Mus musculus: one gene and its partners. The protein of the gene in region 1 purifies or fractionates together with the protein of each later gene. This does not show direct contact. Links are inferred from orthologs where the notes say so. Each region holds a gene or a part of one and is shown in the gene's direction. Other genes may lie near its edges.

Region 1 (4,039 bases):
GACCTGAAATACATCTTTTCTATGAAGTAAACCCAAAGCTAAAAAGTGTGAGGACTGGTGGCTTGTTAGAGGAGTATTTGCATAATATTCTGGGGCCTGGGGTTGATCCCAAGTACCACATAAGCTAGGTAAGGAGGTGCAGACCTAGCACTGGGAGATGATGCAGAAGAATCAGAAAAGTCTGTCCAGAATGAGGGTAGCAATACAGAATATGTGAGACCCTCTCTGTAACAACAACCAAAAACAAAACAAAAAAAACCCACTTGTTGGAGGCTATTGCTGTGGTTACCTGAGACACACTCAACCAAACAGAAACCATGAGATCATTAACCCTGAGAAAACATAGAATAGATGATATCCATGTTAGATGATAGGCTTATATTCTTTTTATTGAACACTAAGATTAAGACCTATCAGGTATGTTAGGATACAATAGGCTCTGTACCTGTTTTACTGACAGACTTTAATTTGTACCATATATAACAGTGGCTCAATTCATTTGATCAGGAGAGTTAGAAGAAGGTTCTGAAATACTTTGTAAAGAATTCTGCAACTTAACAAAAATACTTATATTTAGTCTATGGAAAACTTTGCTGTATAATTTGTAGTCGGTAGTTTTCACTTGTTTTTTATTTTGAATCAGCTCCTCACCATGTAGCTCTGACTTGTGTAGAACTGACATTTTGTGTTCAGTCTGTTTTTACTTTGATACTTTAAAGCATACTGAAGTAGTTGTGACAGACTAATGGACTTGTAAGTAAGGCTTTTTTTATAAACCTTGCTCTCATTAAAAGTTGTTTTGGAACCCTGGGCTCACATAATCTTAAACTTCAGAGTTAATTAAGTAGAAATATCTTAAATCTAAGCAGTGACTGTATATTCAATTTTGTCTTATACTTGTTTTCAGTTTTTTAAATTAATTTAATGACATGCAAGTAATGAGAGTTTAGTGGCTAGAGAGATGGCACAGAGGTTAAGAGCCCACTGGATGCTCTTCAAGAGGTCCTGAGTTCAATTGCCAGCAACTACATGGTGGTGCACAACCATTTATAATGTGATCTGGTCCCCATTTCTTGGCCTACATGCATATATTCAGGGAGAATACTGCATACATAATCTTTTTTAAAATGTCAATATTGTGCCAGTCTTTATCAAAATGATTAGTTGTTAGGTTGTAGAATTTTCTTTGGTTAGTGAATAGAATGGGAAGGTCTGTGCTATAATTTATATTAATGGTTCTTTAGTACATAAATATCTAGTTGTTACGGTTCTTTACACAGCTCATTTCTGTCTTTGGTAATCTTTATAGGGATTTTCGCACGTGAACATGGATCTAATAAGAAATTAGCAGCACAGTCATGTGCCCTCTCACTTGTCCGACAGCTCTATCATCTTGGAGTGATTGAGGCTTACTCTGGGCTTACAAAGAAGAAAGAAGGAGAGAGAGTAAGTTCTTAGGCATAAATGTAGTATTTGGCTAAAGGAGTTGAATTTATAGTTTGAGGGATGAGTTGGAAGAGGGGCATTATTAGAATGGGGATGGAAATTAGGGTTTTTAAATGCCAGACAAATAATGTTTTTTTCTGAGCTATATTCTGAGCTCAGCACTTAGTGATGACGAAATTTAAATGCTGTACTAATCAGTATTCTGAACTCGTGCTTATAGTGGCCATTGAGTGAGTTGTTGATGAAATTCTCACTTAGAGTTGTTGGTTTCTGGCAATTAGTAATAATAGCCCTAATGTCAGCTATATGTTAATTTAGGTGAAATTATTAGTTTTAAATTATAATAGTGGATATATTGATGATTTTCTTTACTCATTCTTTGTAGGTGGAGCCTTACAAAGTTTTCCTTTCTCCAGATTTGGAGCTTCAGCTGCAAAATGTGGTTCAAGAGCTAGATCTTGAAATTGTGCCCCCAGTAAGCATATATACAGCTTTGTAGTTTACCTTGTTTTAGAGTCTTTCCTTAGGAGCATATCTCCTTTATTTATTTTTGCTTTTTTTGTTTGTTTGTTTGTTTTAAATAGCCTGTTGATCCTTCTATGCCAGTTATACTTAACATTGGGAAATTGGCTCATTTTGAACCATCTCAGAGACAAAATGCAGTGGGAGTGGTTCCTTGGTCACCTCCACAATCCAACTGGAATCCTTGGACAAGTAGCAACATTGATGAGGGACCCCTTGCTTATGTAAGTGCAATATGGGTTCTAAGATCAGTTCTTTATTTTCCTTTGCATCTTTCTTTAGGTCAGAGTTAAATAGATTTTGTTTGCTTTCTTTTTACAGGCTTCTACAGAACAAATAAGCATGGACCTTAAGAATGAATTAACATACCAGATGGAACAAGATCATAATTTACAAAGTGTGAGTGTTGAAGATCTTATACATAAATTGTCTAGAGCTTAAATACATTGTAGTTAGATTGAATGACAGGTTTGTACCAAATTGGTAATTATAGTTAGGATAGTGGCTATTCAGGACCTATGAGTGAATTGGACTACTTTCTTGGTTTTTCAGTATTAGGTGGTTTGAATACTTTTACAGCAAATGTAAAGTGATAACATTGTTTAACAAGTCATTACAAAATGGAAAATACTTTTATACTGTTTATGAAGGCTTAAGAATGAACTGGAGTATGAAGATCACATTTTATAGAAATTTTAGTGGGAATCAATTTTTATTAGAAAACGATGTTTTTATTCTTTGAAATACTTCAAGTACAGAAAGCAGTACTTTTTTATGGAAATGATTTAAATGACTTAAACTTTGCTGAACCAGGTGTTACAAGAGAGAGAGTTGCTGCCTGTGAAGAAATTTGAAGCTGAAATTCTGGAAGCCATTAGTTCAAATTCAGTTGTGATTATCCGAGGGGCTACTGGTTGTGGTAAAACCACACAAGTTCCACAGTACATTTTGGATGACTTTATCCAGAATGACAGAGCAGCCGAATGCAATATTGTTGTGACACAGGTAAGTCATTGTGTGAGTTTGTCTTGGAGTTTATAGAGTTCTAGCAATTGTTTGAGATTTTATGGTCAAGTAAGTTTTCAAGATTGTTAAAACGCAAACACACTCTCCTACCCACAACCCCTTGGGGATTTGACCTAAAAAGCCTTGAACATGCTGGACATACACCCTTAAGAATGAGTTGTAGCATTCACTTTTCTAAATTTCTTTTCCTTTTTATTTTAAGTTTATTTAATTTAAGTATGTGAATACACTGTCAACTATATTCAGACACAAGAGGGCATCTGACCCCGTTACACAGATGGTAGTGAGCCACCATTTATTTGGTTTCTGGGAATTGAACTCAGGCCTTCTGGAAGAACAGTCAATGCTCTTAACCGTGGAGCTATCTCCAACCCACTGTTTCTAATTTCAAAGGAAGATTTCATAAAATTGGCTATTCAAGTCCCATAAGAACTTTTTAAACTGCTCAGGATTAGGGGGTGGGGGCAGTAGTTACTAGGAGTATTGATTATCAAGTTAAACTGTTGGTTGTAACCCTGAACAAACCATTTATGACTTGGGAGTGTAATGAACCTTATTTTGTGTGCATTTACAAAGGGTATTTCTGCATTGGTAGTATATATCATGCACTTAGTTGCTTTATTTGTAAGTGCACACAAATTTGGATTTAGCAGGAAACTTGTAGGGCAGTGTTACTCTGCATTTAACTATGAATGCACATTTTATTTAAAGTATATTAACAGCTTAAAGTGTAAATAAAGCAGTCTTCATTCAGCCATCAAAATGGTATGTGGGAATTGTTTAGCAACACTTGAGTTCATCTTAGGCTTAGACTATGAAGTATAAATGTGGGCTTGCAGAAAGAACATTAGATAGCCAGACATGTTTTGCCTGTGAAAGAGAAGACATTAAATCCAAGAATGTAAAAGAGAACAACTTCTTTACAGTAAGATAAATGAATATTACGCCTACATTTCTGCATAAACACCTGTATGTGTGTGCAAGGTTGACATTCTTGAGCATGCTCACTTAGAGATTTATTTTAAAACATTCAAAAATGTTGGGC
Region 2 (4,466 bases), on another chromosome or scaffold:
ATCAGCTGTGCTTCCGACTTTGCTTTTGCCCCACTCCCCTGGTGCGACCAAGTTAGCCATTTTGATTGTGCTTGTATGAATCTATCCCTCAGACTTGTAGTTTGGTCTGTCTACAAAAAGTCCGTCCTCTTGCAGATTTAGCACTACTGTTCTTTAATTTTTATAAATGTGTGGAATTTCTTCTGGAGTGTGGGTATCATACTATCGTCTCCAGGGCCAGATCTCATGGTTATTTGAAGGTGCAGAGCTGTCTTGAGAATTTGCATGGAGAATTTCCCCCAGTGGTCTTCAAAGTGGTTTGGAAGCTAGGAAATTACACCTAGAAGTTGCAGTCACCCAATAATCACACAAATTTGCGGATAGAAATATAAACAGGACTTGGCCCCTTGTCTGCGGGCACTCTGCTTAGCTAGGAAGGAGCACAGAACGGTTAAGAGTGCAGTGGAAATAGGCCCACTTGTCTCAAGATAAAATGGGAAACCTGGTGGAAGGCATTCTCACTGAGGTGGTCTGGTTTAGGAGAAACTGCACATATGGGACTAAAGCTGTGAACCTCGGGTAAACCGGGGAAAGTGTGGAGACCATACTTGCAAACTAGCCCTAAGTAAGGAATTTTTGACACGTCAGCTGGCCAAGAAAAAGAGGGTGTTGTAATAAGTTAGGCAAGAAAACTGGCTGAATCTTAGTCTAAAACAATAACCTATGCAGAACAACGGGACACAACTCCTAGTGGGAGTGAGGTTTGCTGATCCTTACTTTTTTTTTATTTTTGAGGTTACTTTTCTATGTAGTGTTGACTGGCCTGGGAACTCATTCTGTAAGTAGTCTAGTTTTGAACTCACAGAAATCTACTTGCCTCCGCTTTCTGAGCGCTGGTATTAAAGGCGTACGCCACCACACTCCGCCTAGGAATTCCCTAGTTTTAAGCCAGGCCATCCTTTCGAGAGCAAGGTTCACCTGTCGCACAACGGGTGTCTGCCCGTCGAATCCCATAAGCCAATCGGCATCCAAGAATGGGCCACTTCGGTGAGGCGTTTGGAAGATTGGTCCTTTTCGCCTCACCAGTCAGAGGCCAATTGCGGAGCATCCTCCATGTTGTGGGCCCGCCCATGGGTGGAGGATGAACGGAAGGTCGTCACAGTGCGGGCGTATTGTTACCTAAGGACTCAACAGGAGGTGGGGTGTGTTGATTGACAGGCATATTTCACCTACCGGGTTTAGAGAATTTGGCACAGTGGCCCGCCTTAGAGGTGGGGCCTCGTTTGATTGCCAAGTAGAATTCCCCAATAGTATTCGAGCTCGGGGTAACGGGCAGGCTGACTGACTAATGAATCCTCGGCGTGGCCGGCTCAGTTCTCCAATCGCCGATCGGCGGGCCCCAGTCTGAGCGGCGATGGCGGCGGCGGCGGCGGCGGCAGCAGCAGCGGGGGCTGCGGGCGGTCGGGGCTCCGGGCCGGGGCGGCGGCGCCATCTTGTGCCCGGGGCCGGTGGGGAGGCCGGGGAGGGGGACCCGGGGGGCGCAGGGGACTACGGGAACGGCCTGGAGTCTGAGGAGCTGGAGCCTGGGGAGCTGCTGCCGGAGCCCGAGCCCGAAGAGGAGCCGCCCCGGCCCCGCGCCCCTCCGGGAGCTCCGGGTCCTGGGCCCGGCTCGGGAGCCCCCGGCAGTCAGGAGGAGGAGGAAGAGCCGGGACTGGTTGAGGCCGACCCCGGCGACGGCGCCATTGAGGACCCGGTGAGGGGAGGAGGGCGAGCGAGCGGGCCGGGTCATGGGAGGCCCAGAGCACGGACAGGAGGCAGGCAGGCGGGGGGTGGGGTTGGGCGGGGAATAACGTGGCTGGTGGCGGGCCGAGGCCGTTCGTGAGCGGCCTGGTGGGGCATCATGGGTGTCTAGGGTGGCTCTAGAGAAGGTAAATTGACTCTTTTCATTTTTTCTGCGTGTTTTTTTTAAATAATATTTTTTATTTCAATCACGACCCTCGCACGAGGCGAGGGAAATGGCCGAGCACGGCTGTGGCCGGGCCCAGACAAAATGTACGGCACAGCCCCTGCGTCTGGTTAACTGCATGCCCTGCTCATTCATTGTAGGAGCTAGAAGCGATCAAAGCTCGAGTCAGGGAGATGGAGGAAGAGGCTGAGAAGCTAAAGGAGCTACAAAACGAGGTAGAGAAGCAGATGAATATGAGTCCACCCCCAGGCAATGGTGAGTAGATCGCCTCATGCACGCACAGTCCGGATCTTTGGTTGATAGGGTAGTGGGGGAAGACTGCAGCGTGGCAGAAGCCGGGGACCTTGAATGAAGCTGCTCGTCTGAGCAATTTTTTCTGGGCAGGTGCTGTGGTCATAGTCCATTACGTGTTCTACTGACCTTTGTTAGACACAAGCCGTTTTGGTGAAGAGATAGTCTTGTGCCTTCCTTTGTCTCATTTATAAATGTGTTTCTCTTTGTTCTTAGTTTGTCTGTACCCTTCTTGGGGCGATTATCAGCTGGCATTTGACCTTCAAGTCTTAACACTTTTCAGTTGGAGACCCTTTAGTTAGGACTTAGGAACTGACTGGTGGCTGTAAGGGAGGGAGTTCTTTAAAAATGTTAGATTTCAGTCCATTCTGTTTTGTTTGCTTTGAGGCATTTCAGCTAAAGCTGAATAGAGACTCGACTTGAAAAACGTAAAATCTTAACACCGTTTTTTATGGTCTTTTAAGAGGTAGTTTCTCTAATGTATATTGAAACCTACTATGTGCTAAACACTGTTATAGGTAATTGGTATAGTAGAAGTATACCCAAAATTTAGCCTGCGGGTGGAAGTGTGTGTGTATTGATCGAGCAGAAGATGTGCTTGCCTAAGGTAATTTTTTTCCCCTCTAAAAGCTGGCCCAGTGATCATGTCTCTTGAGGAGAAGATGGAGGCTGATGCCCGCTCTATCTACGTTGGCAATGTATGTATCAAGGAATAGTCTGCTTTGGGTTTTGGGGGGGACTTTTGTTTCTTATTCCTTACTTTGTTATGTGTTCAAATTGGAGTTTCCCCAGTACTTGTCAAGTGTTCCTTTCCTTAGGTGGACTATGGTGCAACAGCAGAAGAGCTGGAAGCCCATTTTCATGGCTGTGGTTCAGTCAACCGTGTTACTATACTCTGTGACAAATTTAGTGGCCATCCCAAAGGGTAAGTAGGAGGATAAGTTGAGATCATTTTACTCACATTTTAAAAATACGTGAAAAATACATGAGCTCGGAATCGAACCTAGGACCTTGAACATGCTGATGTGTGCTGTCAATCTAGTCAAAAGAGTGTTAACTCGTTTTAAAGGTTCTTATATATGTGGTCGGTTGGTTTTGTTTTCAAGTCAGAGTTTCTCTGTTTAACCCTGGCTGTACTGGAATTACCTCTATAGACCAGGCTGGCCTTAAACTCAGAATTAAACTGGGATTAGACTTCAGGTTTATACCACCATGACTGGCCTAACTTGAGCTGGGCGTGGTGGTGCACGCCTTTAATCCCAGCACTTGGGAGACAGAGGCAGGGATTTCTGAGGCCAGCCTGGTCTACAAAGTGAGTTCCAGGACAGCCAGGGTTACACAGAGAAACCCTGTCTCAAAAAAACAACAAAACCAAAAAAAAACATTTCCCAAAGAATAGTAATTGCTTATTAAAACAAGTAGGTTTTGCCTGTTAAGTGTCTCTATATATCAGTAGTTGTATATTAAATGCCTTCAGAGACCAGGTAATAAACTAAAGACTGGGCAGGGGTGGGATTGTAAACTAGAAAGGGAGGGCAGCATTAGTCAGCACCAGCTGTTTGTGTATGGCTATATAGAAATCTGGGTCTTGTTGATTTAATTTTGGTGCTACTGGAGACTGAACCTTTGGACTTAGAATGTGTGCTAGGCAGGTCCTCTTACTGAGGCATGTCATACACTCACACCTTTTCAAACTTTTTATTGTGAAATGGGTTCTCTTAAGTGGCCCAGGTTGGTCTTAGCAGCTCTGTAGCTTGCACAGACCATGAACTTAGGTTCCCCTGTCTCAGCCTACTGAGAAGCTGGGATTATAAACTGTTCATTATACTCAATAATGTTTAGAAGTTTTTAAAATGTTAGCATACTATACTTCCAGTTAACTGTATTACAAGTTGGGTTTAACCTGTAAGCTCTTTGTAAAGTCTGATAAAATGGCCAGATTATTCTTTCCAGGTTTGCATATATAGAGTTCTCGGACAAAGAGTCAGTGAGGACGTCCCTGGCCTTAGATGAGTCCCTGTTCAGAGGAAGACAAATCAAGGTAAGCATAGTGCCCTGGCTATCCGTCCTGTACAGAGTCTCTGGCTTGACTCCAAGCCTTTGTGTTCTCTGTCCTTTTCAGGTGATTCCCAAACGAACCAACAGACCAGGCATCAGCACAACAGACCGGGGTTTCCCGCGCTCCCGATACCGTGCCCGGACTACCAACTACAACAGCTCCCGATCTCGA
Region 3 (4,039 bases), on another chromosome or scaffold:
AACAAATCTACATTTTCTGGTGTCTCTAGGTTTGGAGCAAGAGGTGGTAGTGGGCTTCCCCCTAAGAAGTTTGGTAATCCTGGGGAGCGGTTACGAAAAAAGAAGTGGGATTTGAGTGAACTCCCTAAATTTGAGAAGAATTTTTATGTTGAGCATCCAGAAGTAGCAAGACTGACTCCGGTAAGAAAGGGGGGAGGGGGGAGTGTTTAAATATAGGGTAATATTTCAAGTATTGTTTTATATTTGATTTTATATTATGGCAGATCTTTTTAATGTGTTGTGGGTTTGCTTGTTTTGTTTTTTTGTGGGGGTATTTCTTTGTTTGTTTTCTGAGACAGGGTTTCTCTTGTGTGTTCCTTTGATGTCCTGGAACTCGCTTTGTAGACCAGGCTGGCCTCCAGCTCAGAGATCACTCTGCATCTGTCTCCTGAGTACTAGGACTAAAGAATTGCATCACCATGCCTTGCCTCTGTGTCTTTTGTAGGATGGAATTATTGTATTTGTAGAATAGTCCACTGTAGATCCAGGCTGGTCTTGAACTTGCTGTCCTGCTACTTTAGCTCCAGGCTGCAGGGGTCTTTGGGCAGCCACACTTGGTCAAACCCTGAGCTTTGTCCATGAAGACAGGTGCTCAGCCACATGACGCAGGTTTTCTTTTAGCAGCTCTGCTCTCCAGCCTAGCACCACATGCATGTAAAGTTTACACTGCCATTCACCTACGCTTATAGAACTGACTTCATATTGTGTATTTGTGTGCTTTTAACCAAACCACCTGGTGCTGTATTCTACCCAAGAATATTACTTACCGCTGGGCGTGGTGGCGCACGCCTTTAATCCCAGCACTCAGGATGCAGAGGCAGGCGGATTTCTGAGTTCGAGGCCAGCCTGGTCTACAAAGCGCGAATTCCAGGACAGCCAGGGCTACACAGAGAAACCCTGTCTTGAAAAACCAAAAAAAAAAAAAAAAAAAAGAAAAGAAAAAGAATATTACTTACCCAGAAAAAATGATATAATAGAGCAATTTGGCCCAAGTTCTGTCTCAATAGGTAACCCTGGCTGGTCTGGAACCTGTTTTGTAGCCCAGGTTAGGTTTGAACTTGAGGTAGGTTATCCTTCTAGCTGCTGTGCAGGGTGACAAAGTACCACCTAGCCTGGCTAGGAATTACTCTTGAGGGTTTTCTCCTCTTAGTCGTGTGCATCACAAACTTGGATTCATGCAAAAAGCATTAGCCTATATCACTGCAATACTAAAGAGTCTAAATTGAGAATTCTTATTGTCTTCATTCTTCTCTCACACAGTATGAGGTTGATGAGCTACGGCGTAAGAAAGAGATTACAGTGAGAGGGGGAGATGTTTGTCCAAAACCTGTCTTTGCCTTCCATCATGCTAACTTTCCACGTAAGTGCTGTTTAATCCTGTATTACGTAAGGTGCATAAAGGTTTTGAAAGGCTTAGGATTTTGTCTAAAAGACAAATAGAAACTTTTATATAGAAAGATAGTAGCCAGTTGGTGGTGGCAGTACATACATGCCTTAGATCCCAGCACTCAGGAGGCAGAGGCAGGCAGATTTCCCGAGTTCCAGGACAGCTAGGGCTACACAGAGAACGGAGTCTTTTTTTTTTTTTTTTAAAGAAGAAGAAGAGGGAGAAAAAGATAGTAATTTAGATGGAGCCAGTCAGGTGGGTAAGAGTGTTTGAACTACTTGAGTTCAAATTTTGGAAACCAAATAAACATGAAAAAAAGGACATAGATGGATACTGGCACACAACCAAGATAATAAAGTCCAAAAAACTTATTATTTTGTTTCTATTTTTTAAGATAAAAGACTCACTATGTAGATCAGACTGTCCTGGAGCTCAAAGATCTACCTGCCTCTGCACCCCAAGTGCTAGGATTAAAGTTGTGTGCCACCACACCTGGCTTTGAATAGTAATTTTCTATATTCCCAATGTTTTAGAATGGTGATTATTAGTATTGATAGATATCATGTTGCACAAATTTTTGTGTTTTAAAAGATTATTTCTATGGAGTGAGGTTCCTGCGGAGTTCAGAAGAAGGCATCATATTATCTGAAGTTGGAATTCCAGGCAGTTGGTAGATCTTGGGTTCTCTGCAGGAGCAGCAAGCACTCTATCTCCTCAGCCTCTGCTTTGTTTTTAATGCCAAAACTTTTACTAGTATTTTGCCCTAGCATTTTAAACTACAGCAGAACATTGCTTCTAGGATATAGTAGGAACTTTGGGAACAGTAAATGAGCCATGACCTGTTGTGTTAGGATAGTGTTGGGTAGTGTCAGGCTGGCCAGAGATTGGGTTTACAGTTCTCTGAGAATAATAAAGCAAATTAAGTCTTACCATCAGTAACTGCTACTTTTTAAGACTTCATATAGCGGGACGTGGTGGTGCACACCTTTAATCCCATCACTTGGGAGTCAGAGGCAGGTGGATCTCTGAGTTCGAGGCCAGCCTGGTCTACAGAGTAAGTTCCAGGACAGCCAGGGTTACACAGAGAAAACCTGTCTCGGGGGGGAAAAGAGAGAGAGAGAGAGAGAGAGAGAGAGAGAGAGAGAGAGAGAGAGGGAGAGGGAGAGGGAGAGGGAGAGGGAGAGGGAGAGGGAGAGAGAGAGAGAGAGAGACAGACAGACAGACAGACAGACTGACTTCATATGTACCCTTAGTTTACTAGTAAAGATAGTAATGTGTTCACTTTCTTACAGAGTATGTGATGGATGTGCTGATGGATCAGCACTTTACAGAACCCACTCCCATTCAGTGCCAGGGATTTCCTTTGGCTCTTAGTGGCAGGGATATGGTTGGCATTGCACAGACTGGCTCTGGGAAGACATTGGCGGTAGGTACCAAGTATTTGACATATAACTCCTTTTGTTGTCCTAGTTGACTTACATTTTCTCAGTTCTTGGGGGGTTTTGGTTGGTTGTTTTCTCCCGAGACAGGGTTTCTCTGTGTACTTCTGGCTGTTGCTCTGTAGACCAGGGTAGCCTTGAGCTCAGAACCACCTACCCCTGCCCCCTTCCAAGTGCTGGATTAAAGGCGTGCCACCATGCCTGCCTCACATTTCCTTAGTTCTTAAACTTGTAGTTAAAGCACTGTGAGCAAGCAGGGCATGGTGAGACCTACTTTTAATCCTAGCACTAGGGAGGCAGAGGCAGGTGCACTGCTCTCTGGAACCAGCTTGGTCTATGGAGTGAGTTCCAGGATGGCCAGAGAGTGCTACATAGTGAAACACTGTCTCCAAAGAAAAAAACAAAAAATTTCAGCCCTGGAGTATGGTAATTGTTCTATTTTCCCCTTTCCCATTAGGGCATTGTTAATGACTGACTAGCTTGTACCTGTTAGCCTAATGGCCTAGGTTTGTATGACATTGTTGATTCTCATTCCTCCCCAGTATTTGCTGCCTGCGATTGTTCATATAAACCACCAGCCATACTTGGAAAGAGGAGATGGTCCAATTGTAAGTGTGTTACCACTTGTAATTTTTCAGAATAGCCATTTTTAATGATGGTTGCATTTTATGCACTGTGCCCAAGTTAATTCTTTTTTTATGGGTCATCTCTCCAGACCCTGCCCTTATTCAGTTCTCACCACTTTTCTCCCTATGTAGAGGTGGTACTGGCCTGTCTTATTTGGAATTAAATGAATTGCCCAAAATTGTGCAGCAAAAAAATACGAATTTGAGGCATTCTTGCTCTTTTCTGTTTGTGATCTGGTTTATGTCCTGTGTGTGCTAGACAGTAATCCCACTGCTGAGCTCCATGTCTCTGAGCTGAACCCAGTCTGCCAACCAGTGTTTGCAGCAGATAGAAGTGCAGTTCTTTGTTGTGGGCTTTATTTTTTTGGTACTAGGGGTTGAATTTAGGACCTGATGCATACTAGGTAAATATTCAACCACTGGACTATTCGTCCCTCAAACATAATTCTAAATTACTCATTTTTATTAGGTTAACTTATTTTTCTGAAGGGAGTGGGTACATGCCACCTTCTTTTGTATAAGGCAGAATAACTTGTAAGGGTCAATTC
Region 4 (4,530 bases), on another chromosome or scaffold:
TCAGAGAGAACAGGACTTCAGTTGAGGAAATGCCATGAGATTCAGCTGGAGGGCATTTTCTCAATTGGTGATCAGTGGGGCAGGGCCTAGCTCATTGTGGGTGGTGAGGGCCATCCTTTATGATCCTGTGTGCTATACTAAAGCAGTCGGAGAAGCAAGCCCTGTGAAGCTAGAAGCTAGCAAGCAGCACCCCTCCACAGCCTCTATCAGCTCTTGCCTCCAGGTTCCAGTCCTGTTTGAGTTCCTGTCCTGACTTCCTCCAGTGATGGACTATGATCTGGAAATGTAAACCAAATAAGGCCGTTCCTTCCCAGCTTGCCTTATTTCTACAACCCTAAGACACTGTAGAAATTGAGATCTTATCCGTGAACACTAAGCACAGTCCCTGACAGTTTTTTTTTAAAATCTAGTTATATGGATAAAGTTGGCAAAATGGCTGTTCATATTCACGAAGCTGGCAGCCCAGTAGAAGCTGCTGGCTGCAGGTCACAGGGGTGCACCAGATGAGGGAGATGAGAAGTAACGGGACAGAATGGGGATAGGACGTGTCGGGGGACACTGCTCCAACTCTAGTTAAGTCCCCTGGGTTTAATTCCCAAACCACAGTTGGGATGGCGGTGAGAAGGCAATAAAAATAGGAAATCTCATAGGGCATGCTTATAATCTAGTGCTTGGGAGTTCGAGGTCAGCCTGGCTCAAGGCTAGCAGTGTAAGGATGGGGCCGAATAAATCCTGCGTGGCTCGCAAGGAACATGTCCGCAGGAGCTCGCTGCTGAGTTCACAGGGCGGAGCATCGCCAGCGGCTACCGCAGGCCTGGCTCGGGCCTGGTCTGGGTTACCCGGTCTCAAGGGCTTTGGTGGTGTTCCCTCTCATGGGCTTGCTTCGGCGGGCAGAGTGGCACGGGGCAAGAGTCGCATTGGATTAATGGAGCCACCAGCCCACCGTAAACGGCCAATAACCGCCTTGGGGTCAGGCCGAGGCCCTCCATCTTTGTGCCGCCCCTAGGGGAGCCGACGCCGGGTGCGGGCCGGCCCCCAACAGTCAAGTTTTTAAAAAGTCCGCGCGGGGGCCACCCGGGCTGATCCGTTGGGAACGGCCAGAATTCCCGCGAGGACGAAGCGTGCGGGCGACAGAGGGTTCCGCACGGGAGGCGCCGGGCCAGTGCTCGAGAGGAGCGCGCCCGTCCCGCGGCAGCGGAAAACGGAAGTGGGTCTGAGGAGCAGCCGCTGATTGGCCGGCAGGTCACGTCCCTCAAGGGGCTGGCGCGAACGCCACTGCGGAGCTGGGCCTGGGCATCCGGCGAGGGGAGGGAGGGAGGGACGACTGCGGGAACAGCCGCGCGGTCGCCAGGAAACGCTCCACGGAGACGCGCGGAGGGCTCTGGCGGGCGGTCTCCCGGGCCCCGCGGCCCCGCGGCCCCGCGTCGAGTGCGAGCGCGGAGGCGGAAGGAGCGGCGGTCGCCGAGGAGCCCCAGGCCCGGACCGGGGTGGTGGGGAAACCGCGGAGGGCGGGGAGGCCGCGACCGAGAGCGGCGCTGCGGCGCGGTGGGCGGGACCAAGGCGAGCGGCCAGGCGATTGGCCGGCGTCCCGGCGTCGCTTGTGACGCACCGCGCGGGGAGGGTGCGCGCGCCTTCAGCGGCCTCTTTGTGTGGTGTCCCGATAGGGGAGCGGAGGTGGCGGCCGCGGCGGCCCCGGTCGGGTTCCAGCGTCCTCGGCTCGCCCTCGGGCCGGCAGCGCGCCCCTTCCCTCCCCCTCCCGCCCCTTCCCCGCCGGCGGTGGCGGCGGCGGCCGGGCCCGGGCTCGGACGAGGCCTCGGCGACCGCTAACGGGCGACGGCGACGCGGCGGAGCGCGCAGGGCGGGGGCAGGGCCCGGGCGGCCGACATGGAGAACTCGCAGCTCTGTAAGCTGTTCATCGGCGGCCTCAATGTGCAGACGAGTGAGTCGGGGCTGCGCGGCCACTTCGAGGCCTTCGGGACGCTGACGGACTGCGTGGTGGTGGTGAACCCCCAGACGAAGCGCTCCCGCTGCTTCGGCTTCGTGACCTACTCGAACGTGGAGGAGGCGGATGCCGCCATGGCCGCGTCGCCGCACGCGGTGGACGGCAACACGGTGGAGCTGAAGCGCGCCGTGTCGCGGGAGGATTCGGCGCGGCCCGGGGCGCACGCCAAGGTGAAGAAGCTGTTCGTGGGCGGCCTCAAGGGCGACGTGGCGGAGGGCGACCTGATCGAGCACTTCTCGCAGTTCGGCGCGGTGGAGAAGGCGGAGATCATTGCCGACAAGCAGTCGGGCAAGAAGCGCGGCTTCGGCTTCGTCTACTTCCAGAGCCACGACGCGGCCGACAAGGCCGCGGTGGTCAAGTTCCACCCGATCCAGGGCCACCGCGTGGAGGTGAAGAAGGCGGTGCCCAAGGAGGATATCCACGCGGGCGGCGGGGGTGCGCGGGCGGCCCGGGGCGGGCGCGGCGGAGGCCGGGGCCGCGGCGGCGGAGGCGGCGGCGGCGGCCGAGACCAGAACGGGCTGGCCAAGGGCGGCGGTGGCGGCGGCGGCGGCTACAACAGCTACGGCGGCTACGGGGGCTACGGCGCCTACGGGGGCGGTGGCGGCGGCGGCGGCTCATACGGCGGCAGCGACTACGGCAACGGCTTCGGCGGCTTCGGCAGCTACAGCCAGCACCAGTCCTCGTACGGGCCGATGAAGAGCGGCGGAGGCGGCGGCGGCGGCGGCAGCTGGGGCGGCCGCAGCAACAGTGGACCGTACAGAGGCGGCTACGGCGGCGGCTACGGCGGAGGCTCGTTCTAGAAGCCGGGTTCCGGATGCCGGCGGCGGGCGCGGCCATCGTCGCCCTCCGCGCCCGCCCCAGGTGCCCTCGGGGGAAGCCGCTCACCCTGGGGGGCACGACACCCCCCGCTTGCCTGCCCGTTACCCCCCCTGAAGGTGGACTCGGCCCCACACACACACATTTTTGTGTTACAGTCATTGATGGACTCTATTTTTTTATTATTACTTGGACCTTGGTCGTTTTTATACTAGCAAAAAAATGTCTTGTTTTAATTTGTGTTTTTTGGGGGGGCGGGTGGGCGGGCGGGAGTGAACTTGCTGATTCTGTAGCAACACCTGGGTGGGGGTTGGGCGGGAGGGTAGTTTACTTTGTTGTAAGGACTTGATACCTGGCTACAGCGTTTTCTATGAAACCTACTTGGATCCCATGCCTGGAATTTGGAAGCATATGTACAAAAATCATTTTTACGTTTTATTTTTAATAAATCATTGTGTTTGACCGTACATGTCTAACATTTTTTTTTTCCTAGGATCCACTCCTTACCGTTTTAAAGGATATTTTTGTTAGGTTTTGATGTGTACTTCGAGACGCTTAAAGGAGGTCTTGTGGGCTCTTTTTTTTTTTTTTTCCCCTTCCTGTTTGCCCAGTTAGTGATGTTGAATTTACCTTTTACAGACAAAATCTTTCTGAAGTGGTGGATGTGGCTGTTTAGTCCTGTGCATCCATCTCTTTGTAATAAGCGATTTGCTTATCATCTTGACATGGTTGGTTCTTTCTATGAGAATTTACTTCAAAACATGTACTGTGTAGTTTAAAAAAAATAGTTTGTGTTTAAAGCATGTGTTCTCATTCATATAAACTGTTTAAAACTTTTTTAGGTGACCTAGTTTCTTCCTTATTGGTTTGTCTGTAATGAATGGTTACAAATAAGGGTTCTATTTTACCCTAACACTAAATGAGTTTTTTTTAAATGTATTTTCAGAGCAGGTTTAAAAAAAGCGTTTCTTCCCTAAGTCTGAACTTTGTCCTCTTTTAAGTCCAACGGATGTAGCACCATCTGCTGGTAGAGTGGCAGTATAGCTGCAAGACGGTTGGTTAAGAAAAACCCAACTTACTTGTTCAGGACAATTTCATCAGATTTAGCAGTTTGCCATCAGAATTCTGCAGACTTGAAAGGTCCACATTTACTTGTAGCTGAGACGGGCTTCCCGGGAGTGTAGTTAACAGCCCGCATCAGTCACTTTTTCTACGTGAGATTTGAACATGTAAACTGCTATGCATAGCTTGGGCAGTAGCCCCAAACTGCTCCGGTAGCTACTGAAGCAGCTGTGTGTACTGGGGTTTTAGGTGCAAGTTGTAAAACAAAATATCTGTATTCTGCTTGGTTAACGTGTATTTGTAGCCCTTCATGCAATAGAATTCAAGTTGTTGTTTATAAAAAAAAAACAAAAACTGATAATAGAAGAAAATGCCTTCCTGGATAGAAACATAGAATAGCAACGTTTATGGATATCACAAATAAAGAATTCAATTCTTACATGATTGAGTGAGAGTATGTATAACCTGGTGGGTGGGCTCAGAGTACCTGCTATCTTACTGGGTTTGACGAGATGGTAAAAATTTGACTCGGATTTTGGAAGCCTAAAGCCTAATGGCATCAAGCTTTTCAGAAAAGATTTTTCTTTTTACCTTTTAAAATATTTTAATGTTGGAACCCCACATTTTAAGTTGTCACTGAATAATTCCTA
Region 5 (4,592 bases), on another chromosome or scaffold:
CTGATGAAGGATGTCCCAAGCGGAATATGCTCCCCTAACGGGGCTGCCTTGTCTGCCTTAGAGAGAAGTTGTGCCTCTCCCTGTAGAGACTTGATATGCCAAGGTGAGGGGCTCCACCCTCTCAGAGGAGAAGGAGAAGGGGACCAGGAGTGGGGGCAGCAATTGGGATGTTAAGTGAATAAATATTTTTTTTTTTACAAAGGACATCGCAGGCTATAAAGATGACTCAGCTGAACAGACATTGGTTGCTGAGTGTAAACCTGAGTTCAACCCCCATATCTCTTATGACGGAAGAACTGACGCCTCCAAGTAACCCTTTGACTCTCACATAGATGGTCACACAAACACATGCATATTATAATATATACATATTATACACATATACACAAACACCATCCTTTAAAAACACGTACATACATACAAACAAATACATACATAATATAAAAATTTTGAATATAACTTTTTTTCAAATCCTGTAGAACTACTTTTAAAAGGTTACCTACACGCAGCGGCTGTGTTGCAGGCCTGTAATCCTAGAACTTGGGAGATGAAAGCAAAAGGATCATTTCACTGACATCCTTCGTTACACAGAAAGTTTAAGGCCAACCTGGATCATATGAAACATCACCCTAAACCCCAGCAATCAGGAAACAGAGGCAGGCAGATCTCTATGAGGCAATGGTCAGCGTGATTTATAAGTTCCAAGCCAGGACTACTTAGGAAGATCCCGACTAAAAGAAAACAAACACGCTAAAAAACGGTGGACAGAGGTAGAGACAATAGAGAAGTTTTCAATCAAACAGGGTGGCATATACGTTTCTGATAGCACTAGTCCAGAACAGCAGCCTCCAAAAGGCACAGGCAGTTGTTTTTCTGGTCACTGCCCGACTGCCTGGCACATAGTAGGCATTTTAAATTTCGAAGGAAGTGGGGCTGGAAAGATGGCTCAGCAATTAAGATCACTGGCTGCTTTTACAGAAGACATGGGTTCAGTAGTCGGCTCCCAAACGCAGTTAACAATAGTCCCCCGGAGGATCCGACCTTCTCTCTGACTCCCATCTGCACTACACGCATATGGTGCACAGGGTTAACATACATGCAGGCTGAACACCCATGCATACACACTAAGAAAAATCTTAAAACCAAGAAATTTTAACTTTAGATTCCCAGAGGCTGACCATGCTGACCACATCCTTTAACCCGCTTCACCAGATAACAAAACTGAGGCCCGGCTCAGTGACGTCAGCCGGTGCTCAACTGCAGGCAGACCGGAAATGTCCGGGCCGGGATTCGAATCGGGGATCCTGTCCTCCTAGCGAGGGCTCCCGATGACCAACTTGCTTTCTCTGGACGTAAGCGGCTGCACAGCCCGCATTGTGAGGATCACACGACGTGCGTTCTATAAAGAGCGCCACTCTTTGGCCTCGACGTCCAGACGGCGTCCACTGCGGGCCAGGCTCCAACTCACCCTCTCCGCGGCCATCGCCAGCCACTTCGCGACTCCACTGGGCGCCTTGGTCCACCGCGGACGACGCCGACAGGAAGTCCCGCCTACGCCGCGCGCACCCGCGTACCGCGACAGCCATGCCAACCAATGAGCGTCGCTTCTTCAAAGACACTGACCAATAGCAGAGCGCGCTGAGCAGGGGGCGTGTCTGGGCCGCGGGGCCGGGGAGCGGGTCGTGCGCGCTGAGGAGGAGCCGCAGCCGTCGCCGTCGCCGTCGCCGTCGCCGTCGCCGTCGCCGCTACCGCTACCGCTACCGCTCTGCCGCCGCCGCCGCCGCCGCCACCGCTGCCGAGGCCGTGCGGAGCCGTTATCGCCGCGCCGCCCGCCCCGGAGCAGAGTCCCGGGCCTTCCCGCCCGTGTTCAGGTGAGGCCGGAGGCTTCGGCGACTTCCGAAAGAGTAGGCCGCGCTAGGGCCTGAGCTCGCCTAGCCCCACGGGCGTCCGCCGGGCCTGCACCGGCCGAAGGCCCCAGGCCGCGGTAGGCCTGGGTATGGAGACGCGCGTGTGGGCCGCGGCTGGGCGAATGGGAACCGACTCTGTTTGATTCAGGTTGGCGACAAGCCTCCGCCGGGCCAGATTCCTCTGGGCTCCCGCGAGAGAGGCGGGAGAAGGACACAGCGTGGGCACGCGCTTTGGGGGGCCGGGCTCCGAGGCTTGGGGGGCCCCGGATAGTTGATCTCGGAGGCCCGGTGATCCGGGGGTGGAAGAGTGGAGCGAGGACCTTGGGCGCCAGAGGTCATGGCCCACAGACTTGCTCCCTCGGGAAATCCCATAGATTTCTTTTGTGGACGATTTTCTGGACACACCGCGACGAATCATGAGGTCCTTTTAGAAGTGTGCAAACCTTTCGTCTGTGTGTAGAAGTCTAGAAGAGAAAGGGGAAATTTTTTCTTTGATCGCCATCTCTAACAAAGCTGTTTTAGGGACGTTTTCATTTGTAAAATAACGTGTAAATATTAAAAAGGCAATTGCACGCTGTTGAACAATGGGTAGTGATGATGGATCTTCCCTTTCTCTTGTCTTCTGCTGCTAAAGCATGCCAAAATGGGTTTGACGCCTACTATGTGGAGAGCAGGTGGAGAACTTTTTTGCACTAGACAGAGCTTCCATTATCGGAAGTGTCCATGTGGGACACCGCTGGCCAGAGCTCTAGAAGAGGCAAGATCGGATGTTAAAGCTTTCTTAACCTCCTTGTTACAGGCAGTTAGAGTCAGATAATGGTTGGTTGGGAGGGCCTGGCTGCCCTATGCATTGCAGAAAGTTGGATAGCATGCCTGGCTTCTTCTGCCTACTGAGTATTAGCATCTCTGCCTCCTACTTCTTCCAGTTGTGAGTACCAAAAACACATTGAGGCGTTGCTAGGGTTCTTTCTCTCGTTTTTTTCCCTCCACCAAAACACATACACAGAGAGGTGAGAAATCTTTAAGCAGTCTTCCTGGAAAAGTTCTTCCAGCCCTATCCGATGATCTGGGTGAAGCACCTAAGATCTTGAATAAGCCGTATTGAAATGCCTGTGAAATAGCATGGGGAAAGTATTGTGCAGATGTAAAGATGTGAGGAAACCCCCAGTACACATGGAATATGCAGTTAAAATAATCACCAGAATCTTTCAACAATGGACCATGTGTTCATACTTCACGGGCATGTCCCCAGCCCCTAAGGTAGATGTTACAGTATCCATTTTAGAGAAGAAAGTGAAACAGGATAATCTCTTGCACTGTAGTGGCCAATGCAGGGTTTGAAAGCAAGTCCTAGATACCGCCAACATATTGAATACTGGTGTATGCAAAACTGTTGAGGTCTGGTTTTGAAAATGGTGTGAGGCTGGAGAGGCGGCTCAGTGAACAGGAGCACTTGTTACTCTTGCAGAGGACCTGTGTTCAGTTCCTCGCACCTACATGATGGCTCACAGCCATCCATAACTCCAGTTCCAAAGGATCCCATTCCCTCTTCTGACTTTGCAGAACATCAAGCATACATGTGGTTCCCATACAAACAAAACACACATAAATCTAAAAATATTTTCTTAATGCTGTGACTTCAAGGAGTGTGAAGAAGCTGAGAGAAATAGGAAATGTTTCTGTTGAAGTGCTGGTTTGAGGGAAACAACTTCAGTTTGGCTGTGTTCAGGGATAGGTCCCTGGGCAGCAGTAGAAAGGGAGAGACTGAAGAACATACCCATTCCTGTGCTTACGCAGTGGCTTCTCACACCGCTTCTCTCCGTCCTTTGCACACCAGCAGGAGTTGACTTTTCGAAGATGCAGATCTATGTTTCTCCTGATTAAAAGAAGTCTTGGGGCATGAAAAGAAAAATTATGCTGGGCTGTTCAAATGGTTCTAAACATTAAAATCAGAAGCCCTTAGTTTGGGATGTCCCACTATGCGCTTTTCTGACCTTTCTGCTCTTTTCCTGGAAAGCTGTGTGGACCAGCTCAGAGCACAAACACCATTTGAAGCTGCCCCCAAATGCCAAGGCTTTTCCACTTCCTCCAGAATGATTGGTGTTCCCATCACCTTCAGTGTGTTCAAGCTGGTTAAATGCAGAATGGTGAGTGAGATGCAGTGCCGGCCTTTTGCCCCTAGGTGGCAGTAGTTCTATGGAGAAAGACCAACAAGAGGGAAGTAAGCCTTTTGTCCCCTTCCCCAAAGTTGTATTTCAGCCCAGAGGATCAGCTCTGGAGAGGCCATGGTGTATATGAACTATGTTTAGATGGTTTAGCCTGGCTGGTGAGCAGTAATGCACCAGGTGATGTGGAAGCACAGGAAAAGGAACTGTTATTCAAGCCCAGGAGACCCCAAAATGTTCCCTGAGTTGTTGAGGCAGGAGGACCTAGTGGAAATAGCTAGGTAAAAGATGAGTGGGAAAGACTCTTCAAGAACTTGGTGAGTGGAGTAGGTGGAGCTATTAACTCTGGAAAACATACGGGGTATGGAACTTTTGGAAACGTAGAAGGAAGTGAGTAGCAGGTCTGTTGGGAAGAAACCTCAGATATTATGAGGGCCCACTCCAGACTTATGATCATTGACAGAGGGAGTCACATTTGCAAAGGATGCGCTGACTGGCAGGCATAAAACCAGTTAGGATG
Region 6 (4,039 bases), about 67 Mb from region 1:
CCATATTAACTTTTAAAGTATGCTGACCTAAGTAAGGCTTACTGGCTATGCTAAAGTGTCTGCTTACTCATGAATGGCATTTTAAAACATCTAGAACCTGTTAAAGCAGCACCTGGAAAACGGAAGAAGGAGATGACCAAGCAGAAAGAAGCCCCTGAAGCCAAGAAACAGAAAGTAGAAGGTAAGCCTGCAAAACTGGGGAAACAGATCAGAGTAGCACTAGCACAAGTGATGAGTGACAAAGGGACTTAATACTGAACCATGGGGTTGAAATGAAATATGCTGATGTGCTTTATAGTTTATGATGAAATTTGTTGTGTGCTTAAGTGGGCTGAAAGTTCATTTTTTGTGTGTGCAGGCTCAGAACCAACTACACCTTTCAATCTGTTCATTGGAAACCTTAATCCAAACAAGTCTGTTAATGAATTAAAATTTGCCATCAGTGAACTTTTTGCTAAAAATGATCTTGCTGTTGTGGATGTCAGAACTGGTACAAATAGGTAAGTTTTAATTGAATGTTACATGTGTATCAGCTAGAATTTTTACTTTCCAGTTGTATTCTTCCCTGCCTTTAAACATGGGGCTATATCTAACTATGTTAGTAAAAGTCAGTTGTCTCCTCTCGTGGCCTTAAGTACAGTTAAGGAGCTGCAGTAAGAAAGACTATAGTATTGAACTAAATCATCGAGTCATAGGGCCTGCAATTTGAAGTTCCTGTGTTTGACTTGATAAAGATAAAATAAAATTTAAAGAAGAAAAGATATTAAACACATAAAATTTTGTGCAGTATCTACAACTATGGATCTGCATAGTCATATGCTTTTAGCTAAAAGTATTCTCTGTACTTTTAGCGGGGTCCATGCTAGCTACTGCTGTTAGTTACAATATACTGAATGAAGAAATCGAGGTGAATTTGTTGTAATGTCTTGGTACATGGACTTGTTTTGTTTTTTGTTTTTTTTTCTTTAAGATTTGTTTATGTATATGAGCACACTGTAGCTGTCCAGATGGTTTTGAGCCTTCATGTGGTTGTTGGGAATTGAATTTTTAGGATCTCAGCTCGCTCTGCTCTCAGTCCTTGCTTGCTCTGGCCCAAAGATTTATTTGTTGTTATACATAAGTACACTGTAGCTGACTTAAGATGCATCAGAAGAGGGCATTAGGTCTCATTATGGGTGGTGGTGAGCCACCATGTGGTTGCTGGGATTTGAACTCAGGACCTTCAGAAGAGCAGTCAATGTGCTTACCCGCTGAGCCATCTCTCCAGCCTTTGGACTTGGTTTTATGGAAGATAAGGGTGATCTAGTTTTATTTTTGTTAGTGCTGTAGATGCTCTGTGTGTGTGCCACATGGTATAAGTGCAGATCACCTTCTCATACCTGTAATCTTGTTTTTTCCATCTTCAAGGAAATTTGGTTATGTGGACTTTGAGTCTGCTGAAGACCTAGAAAAGGCCTTGGAGCTCACTGGTTTAAAAGTGTTTGGCAATGAAATTAAACTAGAAAAACCAAAAGGAAGAGATAGTAAGAAAGGTATGTAAGGGGGTCTGGGTGACTGGATACTAACAGACTTAGGCAGTCTGGTGCCTCTTCCTTAGTTTCATCCTCATTGTGAACCAATGAGATGTCATAGGTCATGTGCTTGTTGACAGGTTTGATTCCTGGGATATATAATGTCAGGGCTGACAGGAGGAATAGCTTAGTGAGTAAAGATGCTTGCTGCAAAATGTTTGATCTCTAGAAGCCACATGAAGAGAGAAGAACCTTTAATCCCAGCATTTGGGAGACAGAGGCAGGCAGATTTCAGAGTTCGAGGCCAGCCTGGTCTACAGAGTGAGTTCCAGGACATCCAGGGCTACACAGAGAAACCCTGTCTCGGAAAAAAAGTTTTAGCTTATCCTCTGACCACATGTGTATCGTGACATGCTTGAAGCTTACGTATCTCTTAAATGAATTCTTGATCCCTATATTTTGAGTTTCAGAATTTGGATTTTAAGTGTTTGTTTCTTAGTTGTGCTGAAAATTGAACGTGGGCTTTTCACATGCTAGGCAAATTTGTTGGGTTTTTTTGTTTGTTTTTTTCTCAAGACAGGGTTTTTCTGTGTAGCCCTGGCTGTCCTGGAGACCAAGCTAGCCTTGAACTCAGAAATCTGCCTGCCTCCCAAGTGCTGGGATTAAAGGCGTGAGTCACCACTGCCCTGCTAGGCAATCACTCTTAAAACTGCTACATATCCTCTGTCCCCTTTTGCTCATTTTACAAGGTTGCTGTGTGCTCAATCTGCAGTCTATGTTATATGCTTACTGGATCTAGGCTTTTGATGTAGAATGAACCATATGAGTGATGAGGTATCTTAGAGATGGAAACTAAGTCTAAATAGACTTGTTCCATATACAACTTAATACATATGGTCTAAGGAACATGATATACATGTAAACAAGTAGGAAGGAGATAAGTCTGGTGTCCAGGGAAGCCAGGAGAGCCTCATCTGAAACTGGACAGGGGTTTGTGAGTCATCAGGTGACAATTGAACATGGGTACTCTTCATGCAAATGGTTAGTAACCATTGAGCCACCTCTCCATCCCTTTATACCATTTTTTTTTTTTAGCATATATCCTTGTACTTTATAGGAATTATTTGCTTTATTCTCTTGTGACTTGTAAATTGATGTACTTAATTAAATCTTTTTCCAACATAGTTCGAGCTGCAAGAACACTTCTAGCCAAAAACCTCTCTTTCAACATCACTGAGGATGAATTAAAGGAAGTGTTTGAAGACGCCATGGAGATCAGATTAGTCAGCCAGGATGGGAAAAGTAAAGGGTATGTTTTGTGTCTTTGAGTGTTAAAGTTTTATTAAGTTTAGTGTCTTCTTCCCCTCTCCTTGTCCTTGACAGTCTCTAGTCTGCTGCTTCAAACTTAACTTCATAACCAGAAAATTGAATATCTGGTCCTCTGGCCTCTACCTCCCAAGTTCTGACATTAAAAATGCTCAACTGATGGGTTTTGAAGCTGTGATCAATTTTACAGGCTCAATCCAAATTGGCATCTTTTGCCACAAGTACTATCCTTCCCTATTTTATGAGAGAAATGTGATTCTAGGCAGTTCAGTCTATTGTGTTGGCTCTTTTTCCTCCTCACCAGTTTAAAGGATGAAGATGAGCTAATACATAGTAAAAGAACAGTAAAAGCACATGTGACTAAGTCCTTCATGACTGATGCTTGAGTAATATTTTCTCTAACGTAGTAACTGAATTGTCTTGTACTCTTTCAGGATTGCTTATATTGAATTTAAGTCTGAAGCTGATGCAGAGAAAAATTTGGAAGAAAAGCAGGGGGCAGAAATTGATGGACGATCTGTTTCACTCTACTATACTGGAGAGAAAGGTCAAAGGCAAGAGAGAACTGGAAAGACCAGCACTTGGAGTGGTAAGTTAAAGGGTTTATTGTGTAGTGGGAACAGGAATCATTTGTATCTTTGTATTTTAAGTAATTGGTTACCTACAATTAGTTCACCTTTGTTCATATAGCTGATGTTTAGTCTTCATGAGTGAAAGCTATTTGAAATCATTTCCTTTGGAGTATAGTAGGCAAATAAAGCTTTTTGTTGGGTATGTTTTCTACTTTAAATGGCTTAAACTATTTTAGAAAATAGTGTAAGACAACAAAGAACAGTTATCTAATTAGAATGAAAATGAAAGGAGCAAAGAAGGCATTACTGTATATAATGGATATACACTGGTGGTTCTAGAATTATGGTATATGGTACATGGTTGAAGTGCCATTGTTTCAGTTAACATTCCAGTAACCTTGTGGATTAGGTTGGAGACATGCTTTATAGGTGACCCACTTACTGAGTGTTTAAATATACACAGACATACTCTAACATACCTTGCTAATGTGTTATCTTTGTATTTGCAGGTGAATCAAAGACTTTGGTTTTAAGTAACCTTTCCTACAGTGCAACAAAAGAAACTCTTGAGGAAGTATTTGAGAAAGCAACTTTTATCAAAGTGCCCCAGAACCCACATGGCAAACCTAA
Region 7 (3,494 bases), on another chromosome or scaffold:
TGCTGCAGGTACTTGTCTGAGCATGCCATACATAGTAAGGGCAGAAACCCCTTCCAAAGACACATAACAGGAATGGATGGCACCATGAGAGTTGTGTGCTATACAAGTGCTCTACCACTGAGTTTTATCCCTGGGCCTTTGATGGTTTTTGCTTTTTTTGTTTGTTTGTTTTTTTGGTGTTTGGTTTTTGTTTGGTTGGTTTTGTTTTTTTGAGACAGGGTTTCTCTGTATAGCCCTGACTGTCCTGGAACTCACTCTGTAGACCAGGCTGGCCTCGAACTCAGAAATCCGCCTGCCTCTGCCTGGTTGCAGAGGTGCGCCACCACGCCCGGCTGATGTTTTTTAAGTAAAGATTTTATTATGTGGGCAGGCTGATTTTTAAACCTGACAGTCCTGCAAAATTCTAGAATTACAGGAATGTAGTTTAACATCTTTTATTCTCATCTCAGCAGTGAAGTTGTTTTGTTTGTTTCATTTTCTTTCTGCTTGTGTAAGAATCTCATGTAGTCCAGGCTGACTCAAACTCCATCTGTAGCTAGTACTGACCTTTGAGCTTCCTGATCCTCCAGTCTACTGCTGCTTCCCAAATGTGGAGATTATAGTCCTAGGCTAATTGGCTGCCATGCTCGGTTTTATGTGGTGCTGGGGATTGAACCCAAGCCTTTGGCCGTGTTAAACAAGCCTACCAACTGTGATACTTTCCCAGCCAGACCAGGAAAGAGCCTGGAGGTTGTGAGGGGCCAGGTTTCATGCTTCGGGAAGTCTGGAGTTGAGTAAGGTGGAGTCTGCTGAAAAGTGACTGCTCAGAGAGGGATGTTTGGAGTGTGAGGCTCACTGATGCTCTCTAATCTTTTTCCAGGGAAAGATTTTCAAGGAAGCAAACTTAAAGTGTCTCTTGCCCGAAAGAAGCCTCCAATGAACAGCATGCGGGGAGGCATGCCACCTCGTGAGGGCAGGGGGATGCCACCACCACTTCGTGGAGGTATTAGGCACTTTGTTTTAGCTATTGTGCTGTTATGTTAAACGGGGTTGGGTTGGGTTGGTTTTGGTTTTTTTCCCTTGAGAAACTTAGTTGAATAATAAACAAAGAAAAGGTATGTAAAATTGATACTAGGCCATTGAAAGCCAACACTGCATTAATAATATGGGTTAACTAGTTAGAGGGAGTGGAAGCTCTAGAGAACATCTGCCCAGATGTCAATTTCCTTCTATGAAAATGCCATAGTTGGAGGCTACATGAAATGACGCAGAAAGAATAGTGTGTGGATAGCACTGTGAGTTTACAGGAGAGGGCACCATGACAAAGCTGCTATAGAGAGGTGATGAACTGTTTGTTATTGCAGGTCCTGGTGGCCCAGGAGGCCCTGGAGGACCCATGGGTCGCATGGGAGGCCGTGGAGGAGACAGAGGGGGCTTCCCTCCAAGAGGGCCCCGAGGCTCCAGAGGAAACCCCTCTGGAGGAGGAAATGTCCAGCACCGAGCTGGAGACTGGCAGTGTCCCAATCCGTATGTACTTCTCCCAGCAGATTGCGTGCTAGTGATGACACCCTCTTCCCACTCTGGGACGGGACGGGACGGGACGGGACGGGACGGGGGGGGGGGGGGGGGGGGGGACACACACTCAGCACTGACTGCTTCTGGAGGTTCAGGACGGCCTGGGGTTGTCTGCAGGTCCTTGTGCTTTGTGCCTGAAACTCCATAACTGTGTAGAGTGTGGTGTGAATCTCCACCTTTCTCAGTTCTCTTGGTGATTTCTATTGTGATATAACTTTATTCAGGGGCTGTGGAAACCAGAACTTCGCTTGGAGAACAGAATGCAACCAGTGTAAGGCCCCTAAGCCCGAGGGCTTCCTCCCGCCACCCTTTCCACCTCCGGGTAGGTACAGGTTTTCTGGAGCACTTCAGCTTCCTGGTGATTGAGTAGTGTCTGCTCTAGGAGAAGGATTAGCAGATCTACCACAGCAGGTCTTCAGTCTCGGCTTTTACTCCTGACTCACCTGTCACTCTTGTCTCTGCCTTAGGTGGTGATCGTGGACGAGGTGGCCCTGGTGGCATGCGAGGAGGAAGAGGAGGACTCATGGACCGTGGTGGTCCTGGAGGAATGTTCAGAGGTGGCAGAGGTGGAGACAGAGGAGGCTTCCGAGGTGGCCGTGGAATGGACCGAGGTGGCTTTGGTGGAGGAAGACGAGGTGGTCCTGGGGGGCCTCCTGGACCTTTAATGGAACAGATGGGAGGAAGAAGAGGCGGACGTGGAGGACCTGGGAAAATGGATAAGTATGTGGTGGGAGAGCACTGCCCCTTCCCAACCTCTGCTGCAGTGAGTCCTGGGGTGTCTGGGGTCTCTCACAGGGTTTTCTGTCCTTTCTCATTTTGACCTAAGGGTCCCTTTGCTTTGCAGAGGCGAGCACCGTCAGGAACGCAGAGACCGGCCCTACTAGAGACCTGCAGAGCTGCATTGACGACCAGATTTATTTTTTAAACCAGAAAATGTTTTAAATTTATAATTCCATATTTATAATGTTGGCGACAACATTATGATTATTCCTTGTCTGTACTTTAGTATTTTCACCATTTGTGAAGAAACATTAAAACAAGTTAAATAGTAGTGTGCTGAGTTTTTTTTTGTTGTTGTTGTTTTTTGATTTGTTCTTTTTTTTTTCCTTTTTAAGATGGTTGTTTTAAGACTTAACAATGGGAACCCCTTGTGAGCATGCTCAGTATCATTGTGGAGAACCAAGAGGGCCTCTAATTGTAACAATGTTCATGGTTGTGATTTTTTTTTTTAAATAAAATTCCAAATGTTTATAAACTGTCATCCTCCTCCTCTGTTCTCGTGTATGTCCAGTTCTTTCCAGCCCTCGCTAGATGGGAGCAGAAGCTTGTGATGCCCTCGAAGATGCCCACTGGAAACCTGTGCTCGCATCTCCAGCTCTTGGCTTTACTGGGTCATTTGTTCCCTTCCAGAAGGCTCTGAGATGACTTATCATCATTCCAACTCCCACTATCTGAATTCACAGGATCGCCCTGTGCCTTTGCTGGGATAGCAGACCTGATCGTGTCCTCTGCAGTGCCAAGTGGTCACTCTAGTCCTTTGCTGCCTTCTTCCGGACTTCAAAATGGGGCTTTCCCACCCAGCTCATTTATTTATTTGGTCTTTTCGAGACAGAAACCTCTGTGTAGCCCTGGCTGTCCTGGAACTCACTCTGTAGGCCAGGCTGGCCTCGAACTCAGAGATCCGCCTGCCTCTGCCTCCCAATTGCTGGGATTAAAGGCATGAGCCACCACTGCCCAGTTTATTTTTTGTTTTTTAAGAGGGCTTTTCTTTGTAATCTCTGTTGTCCTGGAACTTGCTCTGTAGACCAGGTTAGCCTCACAGAGTGGGCCCACCCTGTGCTTTTAACTCAATTGGCACCCTTCTTCCAAGAGCTGCCTCTGCTTCAGTATGCCAGGAAGTAGGGCTTGGTTCTGTCACAGCAAGTAACTATTAATACCCC

What was found.
Region 2: the proteins of Dhx9 (region 1) and Pabpn1 purify together in Homo sapiens (affinity purification with mass spectrometry; 4 studies listed by BioGRID and IntAct, with this or other methods). This does not show direct contact. The link is inferred for Mus musculus from reciprocal best matches to the Homo sapiens genes DHX9 and PABPN1.
Region 3: the proteins of Dhx9 (region 1) and Ddx17 fractionate together in Homo sapiens (co-fractionation; 3 studies listed by BioGRID and IntAct, with this or other methods). This does not show direct contact. The link is inferred for Mus musculus from reciprocal best matches to the Homo sapiens genes DHX9 and DDX17.
Region 4: the proteins of Dhx9 (region 1) and Hnrnpa0 purify together in Homo sapiens (affinity purification with mass spectrometry; 3 studies listed by BioGRID and IntAct, with this or other methods). This does not show direct contact. The link is inferred for Mus musculus from reciprocal best matches to the Homo sapiens genes DHX9 and HNRNPA0.
Region 5: the proteins of Dhx9 (region 1) and Elavl1 purify together in Homo sapiens (affinity purification with mass spectrometry; 3 studies listed by BioGRID and IntAct, with this or other methods). This does not show direct contact. The link is inferred for Mus musculus from reciprocal best matches to the Homo sapiens genes DHX9 and ELAVL1.
Region 6: the proteins of Dhx9 (region 1) and Ncl purify together in Homo sapiens (affinity purification with western blotting; 3 studies listed by BioGRID, with this or other methods). This does not show direct contact. The link is inferred for Mus musculus from reciprocal best matches to the Homo sapiens genes DHX9 and NCL.
Region 7: the proteins of Dhx9 (region 1) and Ewsr1 purify together in Homo sapiens (affinity purification with mass spectrometry; 3 studies listed by BioGRID, with this or other methods). This does not show direct contact. The link is inferred for Mus musculus from reciprocal best matches to the Homo sapiens genes DHX9 and EWSR1.

Annotation. Positions count from the first base shown.
Region 1 is NC_000067.6:153,470,554-153,474,592, reverse strand, and holds part of Dhx9 (ATP-dependent RNA helicase A), read left to right. Parts: intron 1-1,309; coding exon 1,310-1,446; intron 1,447-1,831; coding exon 1,832-1,921; intron 1,922-2,030; coding exon 2,031-2,192; intron 2,193-2,289; coding exon 2,290-2,367; intron 2,368-2,781; coding exon 2,782-2,973; intron 2,974-4,039. UniProt on the Homo sapiens protein: Multifunctional ATP-dependent nucleic acid helicase that unwinds DNA and RNA in a 3' to 5' direction and that plays important roles in many processes, such as DNA replication, transcriptional activation, post-transcriptional RNA regulation, mRNA translation and RNA-mediated gene silencing.
Region 2 is NC_000080.6:54,892,763-54,897,228, forward strand, and holds the start of Pabpn1 (polyadenylate-binding protein 2), read left to right. Parts: upstream 1-1,380; 5' UTR 1,381-1,393; coding exon 1,394-1,732; intron 1,733-2,085; coding exon 2,086-2,200; intron 2,201-2,866; coding exon 2,867-2,934; intron 2,935-3,054; coding exon 3,055-3,161; intron 3,162-4,189; coding exon 4,190-4,277; intron 4,278-4,358; coding exon 4,359-4,466.
Region 3 is NC_000081.6:79,539,847-79,543,885, reverse strand, and holds part of Ddx17 (probable ATP-dependent RNA helicase DDX17), read left to right. Parts: intron 1-29; coding exon 30-180; intron 181-1,299; coding exon 1,300-1,399; intron 1,400-2,718; coding exon 2,719-2,852; intron 2,853-3,407; coding exon 3,408-3,473; intron 3,474-4,039. UniProt on the Homo sapiens protein: As an RNA helicase, unwinds RNA and alters RNA structures through ATP binding and hydrolysis.
Region 4 is NC_000079.6:58,125,668-58,130,197, reverse strand, and holds Hnrnpa0 (heterogeneous nuclear ribonucleoprotein A0), read left to right. Parts: upstream 1-1,641; 5' UTR 1,642-1,884; coding exon 1,885-2,802; 3' UTR 2,803-4,319; downstream 4,320-4,530. UniProt on the Homo sapiens protein: mRNA-binding component of ribonucleosomes. Specifically binds AU-rich element (ARE)-containing mRNAs. Involved in post-transcriptional regulation of cytokines mRNAs.
Region 5 is NC_000074.6:4,322,165-4,326,756, reverse strand, and holds the start of Elavl1 (ELAV-like protein 1), read left to right. Parts: upstream 1-1,656; 5' UTR 1,657-1,871; intron 1,872-3,924; exon of another isoform or gene 3,925-4,054; intron 4,055-4,592. Other genes in the region: Ccl25 (C-C motif chemokine 25), read right to left, coding at 1,346-1,375. UniProt on the Homo sapiens protein: RNA-binding protein that binds to the 3'-UTR region of mRNAs and increases their stability.
Region 6 is NC_000067.6:86,352,513-86,356,551, reverse strand, and holds part of Ncl (nucleolin), read left to right. Parts: intron 1-94; coding exon 95-181; intron 182-224; exon of another isoform or gene 225-292; intron 293-358; coding exon 359-500; intron 501-1,407; coding exon 1,408-1,532; intron 1,533-2,696; coding exon 2,697-2,820; intron 2,821-3,271; coding exon 3,272-3,426; intron 3,427-3,918; coding exon 3,919-4,039. UniProt on the Homo sapiens protein: Nucleolin is the major nucleolar protein of growing eukaryotic cells. It is found associated with intranucleolar chromatin and pre-ribosomal particles. It induces chromatin decondensation by binding to histone H1.
Region 7 is NC_000077.6:5,069,008-5,072,501, reverse strand, and holds the end of Ewsr1 (RNA-binding protein EWS), read left to right. Parts: intron 1-859; coding exon 860-982; intron 983-1,343; coding exon 1,344-1,506; intron 1,507-1,778; coding exon 1,779-1,876; intron 1,877-2,021; coding exon 2,022-2,274; intron 2,275-2,380; coding exon of another isoform or gene 2,381-2,398; coding exon 2,399-2,438; 3' UTR 2,439-2,815; downstream 2,816-3,494. UniProt on the Homo sapiens protein: Binds to ssRNA containing the consensus sequence 5'-AGGUAA-3'. Might normally function as a transcriptional repressor. EWS-fusion-proteins (EFPS) may play a role in the tumorigenic process.